Neurospora crassa OR74A: one gene and its partner. The protein of the gene in region 1 purifies or fractionates together with the protein of each later gene. This does not show direct contact. Links are inferred from orthologs where the notes say so. Each region holds a gene or a part of one and is shown on either strand. Other genes may lie near its edges. The genes, in order: NCU05194 and NCU09552.

What was found.
Region 2: the proteins of NCU05194 (region 1) and NCU09552 purify together in Saccharomyces cerevisiae (affinity purification with mass spectrometry; 3 studies listed by BioGRID, with this or other methods). This does not show direct contact. The link is inferred for Neurospora crassa OR74A from reciprocal best matches to the Saccharomyces cerevisiae genes MCM6 and TOF1.

What each region holds. Positions count from the first base shown.
Region 1 is NC_026504.1:5,796,935-5,801,503, forward strand, and holds the start of NCU05194 (DNA replication licensing factor mcm6), read right to left. Parts: upstream 2,863-4,569; 5' UTR 2,677-2,862; coding exon 2,381-2,676; intron 2,316-2,380; coding exon 1-2,315. Other genes in the region: NCU05193 (hypothetical protein), read left to right, coding at 4,100-4,362, 4,425-4,569. UniProt on the Saccharomyces cerevisiae protein: Acts as a component of the MCM2-7 complex (MCM complex) which is the putative replicative helicase essential for 'once per cell cycle' DNA replication initiation and elongation in eukaryotic cells.
Region 2 is NC_026505.1:4,563,986-4,568,570, forward strand, and holds the start of NCU09552 (topoisomerase 1-associated factor 1), read right to left. Parts: upstream 2,967-4,585; 5' UTR 2,798-2,966; coding exon 2,723-2,797; intron 2,663-2,722; coding exon 1-2,662. Other genes in the region: NCU09553 (3-hydroxybutyryl CoA dehydrogenase), read left to right, coding at 3,585-3,701, 3,777-4,585. UniProt on the Saccharomyces cerevisiae protein: Forms a fork protection complex (FPC) with CSM3 and which is required for chromosome segregation during meiosis and DNA damage repair. FPC coordinates leading and lagging strand synthesis and moves with the replication fork.

The DNA of each region.
Region 1 (4,569 bases):
TCACAATGGAAATGTACTTGTCGTACGAAATCGTCTGCTTCTCGCGATGCGCTTGCGAGGGTGCCGCAGACGGCTGTCGGGCAGCTTCACCACCCATGTCGACGTCGCCATCTCCGTCCATATCGGCCTCGGGCACGCGCGAAGCAGCGGCGGCGGCGGCTTGCAAGGCCTCGGGGGAGTCGGCGGGTGGTTCGGGAGCGTCTTCCTCGTCGTCTACTTCGACGTCGTCGTGTTCGACGGAAATGATCGACTGCCGCAAAAGGTGGAACGCCTCATTAACAAAATCGGGCGTGATTTCCTCGACGCAGTTGGCCTTGGCAATGGCTTCAGACAGACGGATCATACTCTCCAGCTGTCTGACGGTGATTCGGTAGCTGTTCTTGCCGATGCCGCCCTGGGCGTCGTCGGCGCGCAGGTCCTTGTAGCGCTGCACGAGGACTTCCTTGGCTTCGTCGGTGAACTCGGGGCGGAAAGTGCGAGCGAAACGAATGTACCGCTGCAGTTGCTCGGTGGAAAACTCGGGCTCGATGGCTTGGTCCCGGTTTTGGTGCAGGCCGACAATGTGTTCGGCCAAGTGGCGGTCGACCTGCTCGTTGCACTCGTCGAGGATGACGAAGAACAGATCGAAACGCGACATGATGGGCGCCGACATGTTGATGTTGGCGCGCAGGGTGGTCTTGCGGTTGTAGCGACCTCCGACCGGGTTGGCAGCTGCTAGAATCGAGGTTCTGGCATTAAGCGTGGCCTGAATACCGGCCTTGGCAATGGAAATGGTCTGCTGTTCCATGGCTTCGTGGATGGCAACCTGATCGGCAATGTCCATCTTGTCGAACTCGTCGATGCAGCAGATGCCGTTGTCAGCGAGCATGAGGGCACCGGCTTCAATGGTGAATTCACCGGTTTCTTCATCCTTGACCACGGCAGCCGTAAGACCAGCGGCGGAAGAGGCCTTGCCGGAGGTGTAGACTGCCCGGGGAGCAAAGTTGACGACGTACTTGAGAAATTGGGATTTGGACGTCGAGGGGTCGCCGACGATGCAGATGTTGATGTCGCCACGGAGTGCCATGCCTTCGGCGGTGGTTTTGGAGACACCAGACAAAAGCTGCAAGAGGATACCCTTCTTGACGACTTCGTGACCGTAGACTGTGGGTGCCAAGGACTGGACAAGGCGTGCGTAGATGTGGTCGCTGTGCACCATGGCACGGAGGTCTTCCATCTCGGCAGAGGTGTAGGAGCTCAGCAGAGCTTCCTGGGCTTCCTTGATGGTCTCGGCTGTTTCGGCCGCCGCGCTGCTGTTGAGGGTACCAACAATGTCCATCAGAAGGGCATCGCCAGAAGCACCGATTGCCGACACATCAGGCGTGACCATGCAAGCCAGGAACGCCAAACGGTAGGTAAGATCGCGCACACCCAGGGCCTTGAGACCAGAAACACCACTGCCACCGGCATCCGCACCCCGATCATCACGCACCGACACGTTCCGCACACCCGGCAGACCCAATTGACTGACATCCGGCACCACGATCAGCGCACCCGTAAAGATACACTTTTCGCCGGCCTTGGCGCGATCCACCAGTTCGCCGCGCAAAATCACATCCATTGTCCTGGGCATGCTTCCTGTGGGAATCTCGCTACTGTTTTCCTGCACGCGCACCTTTTGCCAGTCCACAAAGGTGCTCTGCCTGATGTCCAGCTGCCACGAAGTGCGGTTCTGGCACGTCAAGTTGGGACACTGCGTCGGTTCGGTGTATCGGAACGTCTGCTCGACATTGGGAACGACGGCGTAGCAGGCCTGGCAGACAAAGGTGGCCAGAGCCAGCTCGGGCCGGACCTCGGAGGTGCGTGTGACGGTGCCGCTAATGGCAAGAAGCTGGCCGACGTTGCGGGCGCGCATGGAGCGCACGCGCGAGACGAGGGGCAGGTTGTAGAAGGCAATGGCAAAGAGCTTGTCGGTTTGTTGGTTGGGGTTCTTGATGCCAAAGTCGGACTGGCTCGCGTTGGCGCCTCGTGTGCTGGCGGCTGTCGTGGAGTGGGCGCTGGATGCCGTGGGCTGGCGATGTTCGTTAAAGTATTGGGGTTCGTGGGCGGCGATTCGGCTATGGAGGGCGGCTGTGAGGAAGGGAAGGAAGCGGTAGTACGAGTTGGTGATGGCCTCGGCGAGGGTGCCGTCTTGCCATGAGGCGACGTGCTTGTAGTCGACGTAGAAGGTGGATAACGAGTAGGTCCTCATGCCGTGGATCTGGGCGACGTAGTACTTGTCTGTCGTGACTGCGCTCGAGGTTGGTTGGCCGGACGAGGTGGGTGTTTCGACGTAGCTGGCGCCGGTGTCAGCAAGTACACCAAGTAGTACATGTTTGGCTGGTTTCTTGGATCTTCATACCCGTCAATGAAGGCCTCAAAGGCTCTCTGGACCATGACACCAATCCTATCCTGAACCCTGGGGATGTCGGCAATGTTCCGAGGCCTCGAGCGGACGGGGACCTGATCATCAGCGAACCCTTCCTCGCCCTCGTCTTCGCTGGCCGCTCCGAGGCTTTCTGAGGGGGGGCCTCGTGGACGAGCTGAAGAGGAACTGGGATGACCGTTTCGCGCCCTGGGAGTAGCTCCTCCTCGCGAAGCGATTCCGTCCGACATCATGAAGCCAGCATCGCTGGAGTGTGCCATTGGTGTTGCCATTGTGTTATGGTGTTGCTGTGGTCCACCTGGGTATCAAGGAGAGTTGGTGGAGATTGGAAGTTGTCGAGGTCAAGATTCAAGTAGAGATATGAGAACCCAAGGGACCAAGGACTGACTGGTTAGTGAGTGGAAGGAGGGGAAACTGTGACGAGGGGAGGGGAACTGAGTCCTCCCTGTCAAGAAAACACGATAAAACACGCGCCAGAAAAGCTGAAGCGCGCCAAGACCAGGAAGCTGGCGCGCACAAGTGGGGCCCTCTTTAATGGCTTCGCTAGTGGGATATAGATTGGATAACTGCATACCACCTGCACTTGGCCACAGAAATTCAACCTCTGGGGTGTATCGCCGAAAGCAATACACTTGCTGTAACGAAGCATCGCCATTCGACTCTGCCTTGTTCGTACGACGACCCGACTTGCCCTACCAAGGATTCAGCCTCCTGGTAGAAGTTGCCTACTATGTCTTTTAGTGATTCCAGGCCTTTCGTGTGCCGAATGAGACCTTTTGCAATTCTCTCCCAACTATTTTCATTCATTTTGATTTGAGAAATCCTCCAGCAAGATGCTCCTTCCTCACAAGCCGTTGCAAAATGGGTGATGCTTCTTCCATCCATTGAACAATTCTGTGTGTATTGACGAAGCACAATTTTCTCGAGCTGATGCCCTCTTCCCGCTGTCGGCACTCTTTATCAAGTGCCACACAATTGTCGTCGCTCCCTCGGTTCCTCGAATGCAGTGTTCCCTCCCACATCAGCCAAACTGAACTGTCAATCGCCCTCGTCCAATTTCCTCAGCCTTCGGTGACATCCATCAACCAGCTTGCCATGGTATCTTGCCATTAAAACCGGCCAGCTGCCAGGTCAAGTCCGTGGTGGTTCTCTATAACATCCGAGTTATGTATGTATGTCAGACAAGGTACAACACAAGAAGGTGAGTATAGTGAGGTCGAACCAGTCAGAAGTGGTCCCGGTCATGTTCGGTCCCAAACTCCAACATCTCCGAGACATACAAGCTGCAGTGTTACCACAATTTCATCTGGGCTGATAGGCTTTAGCCGAGAGCATGCCAGCCCTTGACCACCCACATCAACCCGCGGCCAAGAACACATGTCCTTGCTTGACGTGACGACCTTCTGCAATCTGGTATCCGCCTGCCCCTCCCCCCGATCAGATCTCTGGGCTGAAACGCCATGTAGGTGGGCAGCGTGGCGGCGAACCTGATCTATCTTTGCCATCACCCCCCTTCCTGACGTCTCAGCTTCTTCTACCACTCCACAAACAACAGCAATGTTAGATCAGTAGTCTCTTGACATCAGAATGGCTTGACAAGCGAAACAAAGACACTATCAGCTGACTCGGCCAAACAAAGCTTTGTGTCAGAGAAGATCGTATCTGGGCCCGCATTCAGTCAGTCAAAAGTCCAAGATGAACAGCAATACGGACTTCACTCAGCTATGGCATCGCCATTTGGCCAACCTCCGCCATGACTTCTCGGCTGGAGCTGTTGACAACGCTCGTGTACACGCTTCGCCTTCGAAGCCGGCAAGGAGCATGGATGGAAGAGGAGACAGTGAAGCTACGCCCAGGGGCGCTGATCATCATGACATCCAAGCGACGTCGCTCCCCGTTGGACTCGAGTGGGACGGAGACATGGAGATGGTGATTGGTGCTTTGCAGGAGCTTGAGGTGTAAGTTCGGCCAACCTGACATCTGATCCCAAGACAAAACGGCTAACGGACATCCGTAACAGTCAAAGCCCTATCACCGCCACCGAAGCCCTCAGTCCCGATTCTCCGTGGTTCAGAGACCATCATCTTCGCCGTGATGCCGATGGTGATGGGGATATAGAGATTGAGACTGTGGCGTCGTCACCGCAAAATTCGAGCTGGTCGAGG
Region 2 (4,585 bases), on another chromosome or scaffold:
GCTGGTCTTCGGCTGAGCCGCCGTCCTCAAAGGTGGGAGGGGAGAACTCGGCCTTGTTGATGAGGTCGATGGTATCTTGGATCGCCTCGGCGGTGTGGCTGCCTGGGAGAATCCAGGTCGAGTCGGGGGTCTCGTCGAGAGTAGGCGTGAGACGCTCCATACCGACTAGACGCATGAGAAGACGGAGGTGCGGGTTCTTGAACATGGCTGTGCGGCGAGCCTCGGTATCAGGGCGGATCGTGATATGTGGTGGTGCTGATTTGTTGGATCTCTCGTCGGCAGCTTCACCATCAGCCGCCCCCTCGGTAGTGGCTGCCATGGCCTTGTCTACGTTCTCCCATGCTTGCCGCTCACTCATTGCACTTGTCAGCTGATCCTTGAGCCACTGCAGATGCTCGACTTGCTGTTTGTCGATGAGTACGCTGACCGCAATGCCAATCTGCTCGTCGCGCTCTGTGGCTCGCTTGAACTCCAGCTCGGCACCAGGTCGTGGCGTAGTTGTGGTGACAGGCTTCTCATAGCCGTGCTCAAGGAAGTGCGTCGTGCTGCCAATCTTGGAAAAGAGCAACTCGGTGAACAACGCAGGCCGCTCTTGAAGCTTTTTGACACATTTCCGAATGATCTGCTTGGAGAGCTCCTCCCATTCCTTGAACATCGGCGAGCTTTTGTCGAGGGGCTCGGGACCTTGGACCATGTTGTAAAAGAGATTGATGATGTCTAGTCGGAATAGCATGATGCTCAGCTCGAGTTTGAAGGCAACGCGGTAGAAGTAGCGATGAGCGCGCTTCAGCTGTGCGTCGTTCAAATCCCGGTAGAATTTGGTGAAGGCGACAAATGTGTCGACAACACCCTGGGGAGCGAATCGAATGGCGAATTTCCCAAACTCGAACTTGCGCTCCTGAGTGACCCGCTCTGCATGTTGCTCATCGTCCCCAGAATCATCGGCATCATTGTCCTCGGGAACGCCAACGTCTTCTGCTTCCTCACCGGCGGCTCTAGCTGCAGCAACAGCAGCAGCAGCTTTGGCAGCCTTCTTCTTTCGGCGAGCTCGCTTCCGTGAGCGCACCTGCAAATCGACATTTTGCTTAGAGTAACCTTCTAAAATGCGGAGGAAAGTGTGGACAAGCTCGGTCGCGGCATCAAGATATTCGAAGCCTTGATCCTTGTATGTTCGAGCAATATTCGCGATAAGGTCGTGGGTTGTCTCCTCGTAAAAGAGACGGCTCAGGGTGTTTTCGGCAATCTCCTGGTCTTCCTCGTTGGGAGACTCTGACATCTCCTGGACTGTGAGGAAGATCTGGGTGTAACAGCGCATGACGGACGTGAGCAGTTGCCAATCCTTATCACTATAGGACCGGTCAAGCGCACGATTCATGGAAGCGAACATTTCCTGTTGGAGCACAGCAGCAACGAGGTTAAAACTGTTCACCTCCTCTCCGGCTGCGGACGTCGACTTCGACTCGTCCCTCTTGGCCTTTCTCCGCATCCGCTCGGCTTCGAGGAACCAGGCGACAAGGTAAAAGAACTGGCTCTTATGCTGGTTCAATGCATGCAATGCCTCCCGATCGATCGATTGCCTCACGTGCAGAAACAAGGGGTTGAAACCGGAGTCGAGGAAGTCTTGGACGAATGATCGCAGCTGCTGACGAGCTCTTTCATCTAGCGTCACCGGAGGGCCAAGGTCCTTGGGCTCCATCTCGGGTTTCCTCGCTCTTCTTGGCGGTCTGAATGTTTTGGAGTTATCCATCTTCCTCTCTCGCGTTTTTGCGTCCAAAAGAGCCTCTTGGCCAGATACCGTCACCATCTTGCCATCTGCTCGTTTCACCCAGATCATGGTCCCAAATCGACTGTGCCGAGTGGTGGTGGTTTTGTTGTAGGATTTTAGCATAGCAGCCTCCTTGCGCATCTCCGATGCCAGCTCTTGCCCCTTGGCTTTGTTGAGTTGCTTTTCACTGACGAAGAGCGAGCTGGGGTCAACTCTTTTTACAAGATGAAAGATGATTTCCATGATAACTACATCTTCGGTGCGGAAGTCCTCGCCCATGTTGGAGGCAAGGGTCAGCAGAGTGAGAAATATGTCTTGATACGAAAAGGCATCAATGGTTGCCGACCTGGATACCTGTGTCTCGTCGCCTTCGCATTTGACACCTTGCGGGGGTGCGATCATGGCAACGTTCCTCAAAAAGAAGAGAATGAGCTTGATGATGGCCTGGTCACGGGGTGTCCGCTCGCCGATAGGCATGGCCATGGAGGGAAGGGCTACCCTGACGGCGGTGTTGAGGATGGGTATCGCATCGAAGTTTATGATGGCGCGCTTGTAGCCAAGCTGGGCAAGCTGCAGAACGGGCATGTGACGATGGTGGTTGATGGTCATTTCGGCGCGCTCCTTCTCTATGGGCCAAGTAAGGGGCACCATGACCTCGAAACACGCCAGAGCAATACGGGCCTTGTACTTGCTGTCGGTTTCGCTTTGAGGCCATAATGTCAGGATCTGGAGCAGATCGCCGCCGACGAGGTTCGCTTCAGCCAGACATCTGGCGACGTCCATGCGATTGGTCTTTTCATCGTAGAATCGGATCCATTTCTTCAGGTCGCGCAAGACGTCTAGCGCTTCGTCACCGAGCTTGTAGCTTCCATCATCGTCCGCGCTGTAACCACCGAGCTATTCGGGTCGCCAGAGTCAGTACATCCGTGTATATAACGAGTCCAGAAGTGGACATACCGCAGAAACCAGGTTGGTGATGTGCGCCCGCACTTCCGGATGGACGACATCGTCGTTGATGTCTGCGGCCTCCATTTTGCGCAGAAATCACGGCGTCCAAGACCAGAACGGAGTCATACGAGTACTAGACAGACTCTCCCCAACTCTCAGCTTGTCTTGGAGGTCGTTTTGTTATCGCATGGATGGTGGCATTGGTCGGGCGCACTTTGTCGGGACGGGACACGCGTTTGTGGTGGTGGGAGACGCGCCGACCGTGTCGTACTTTTTAATGGAAATTGGTGGTATCTTGGTCTTGGCCTGCTTATCTCCCCAAGCGTTTTGTCGGACTGTTTTAAGATACCTGGGTAAGTAGGTACCTAATGTACCTAGCTACCTACTAGAGATACCTCTGCAGCAGTACCTGTGCACCCCGATTTCGACCTCGTGGAGAGCTGCGGAGTTACCCCTGTGGACGGGCAATCAACGACAGCCGAGGATCTTGAGTTGGCGCGGGAATCATGCCCGCAATTGCCCCCCCTGAACGACATGCTTGTACCTCTAGGTAGCGTACATAGTACTCCATACGCGCTAAAACCGACCCCATTTTCCCCGCCTAAGAAAAGGCTAGAGCCGCCCGTAGCTCCTGTACGGCAGTATGTTATGTCCCCCCCGTGGCCCGGGTCGGGCTTGTGACGTCGAGTTGGAGACGAGGACGGCCGAGGTTAACCGAATCCGACAACTTCACATCGTCGCATTCGCATTCTCTAGAGGTGCCCTGGTTGCCTACCTAGGTGTAGTCTTCCGATTTTTCTGTCCCTTTCCTTTCAGTCTCTCTCAGTCACAGTGTCTGCTTTGTTTACTTTCGCCGTGACGATCTCGCAAAATGCTTGCTAGAACCCTCGTCCAGAAGCTGCCCATGGGCGCTCGCGCCTTCAGCTCGACATGCGCCCGCAACGCTGCCGAGGTCAAGAGGCTCGGTGTCGTTGGCGCCGGCCAGATGGTGAGTCCGGCCCATATCATTCATGCCCATGTCTTCAACAACGGCAACGGCTGACTTGTCCTCCTTCTCCTTTAGGGCCTGGGCATCGCCCTCGTCGCCGCCACCAAGGCCAGAGTCCCCGTCACCCTTGTGGATGCCTCTGAAACGTCTCTAGACAAGGGCCTTGCATTCGCCGACAAGCTCCTCAGCAAGGATGTGGCCAAGCAACGCATCACTCAGGATGAGGCGGACGCCGCCCGCGCGCTCCTCCAGCCCACCACCATCCTCGAGGACCTGGACAGCGTCGATTTTGTGATTGAAGCTGTGCCTGAGATTCCCAAGCTCAAGTTCGACATCTTCTCCAAGCTGGCCGAGATCTGCCCTAAGCACGCCATCTTAGCCACCAACACCTCTTCCATCTCCATCACGCGCATCGCCGCCTCAACCACCAAGGACCCCAACGACACCTCCAACAGCTCGCGCGTCGTGTCCACGCACTTCATGAACCCCGTGCCCGTTCAGAAGGGAGTCGAGATCATCAGCGGTCTGCAGACCAGTCAGGAGACGCTTGACACGGCCGTCGAGTTTTGCAAGAAGCTGGGCAAGATCCCTTCCATCTCCAAGGACAGCCCGGGATTCTTGGCTAACCGCATCTTGATGCCTTACATCAATGAGGCCATTATCTGCCTGGAGACTGGCGTTGGCGACCGTGACTCTATCGATGCTATTATGAAGAACGGCACCAACGTGCCTATGGGCCCCCTCCAGCTGGCTGACTTTATCGGTCTCGATACCTGTTTGGCTATTATGAAAGTATTGTACGAGGAGACGAGCGATTCCAAGTATAGGCCGAGCGTGCACTTGCGCAACATGGTCGATGCTGGCTGGTTGGGCAAGAAGAGTGG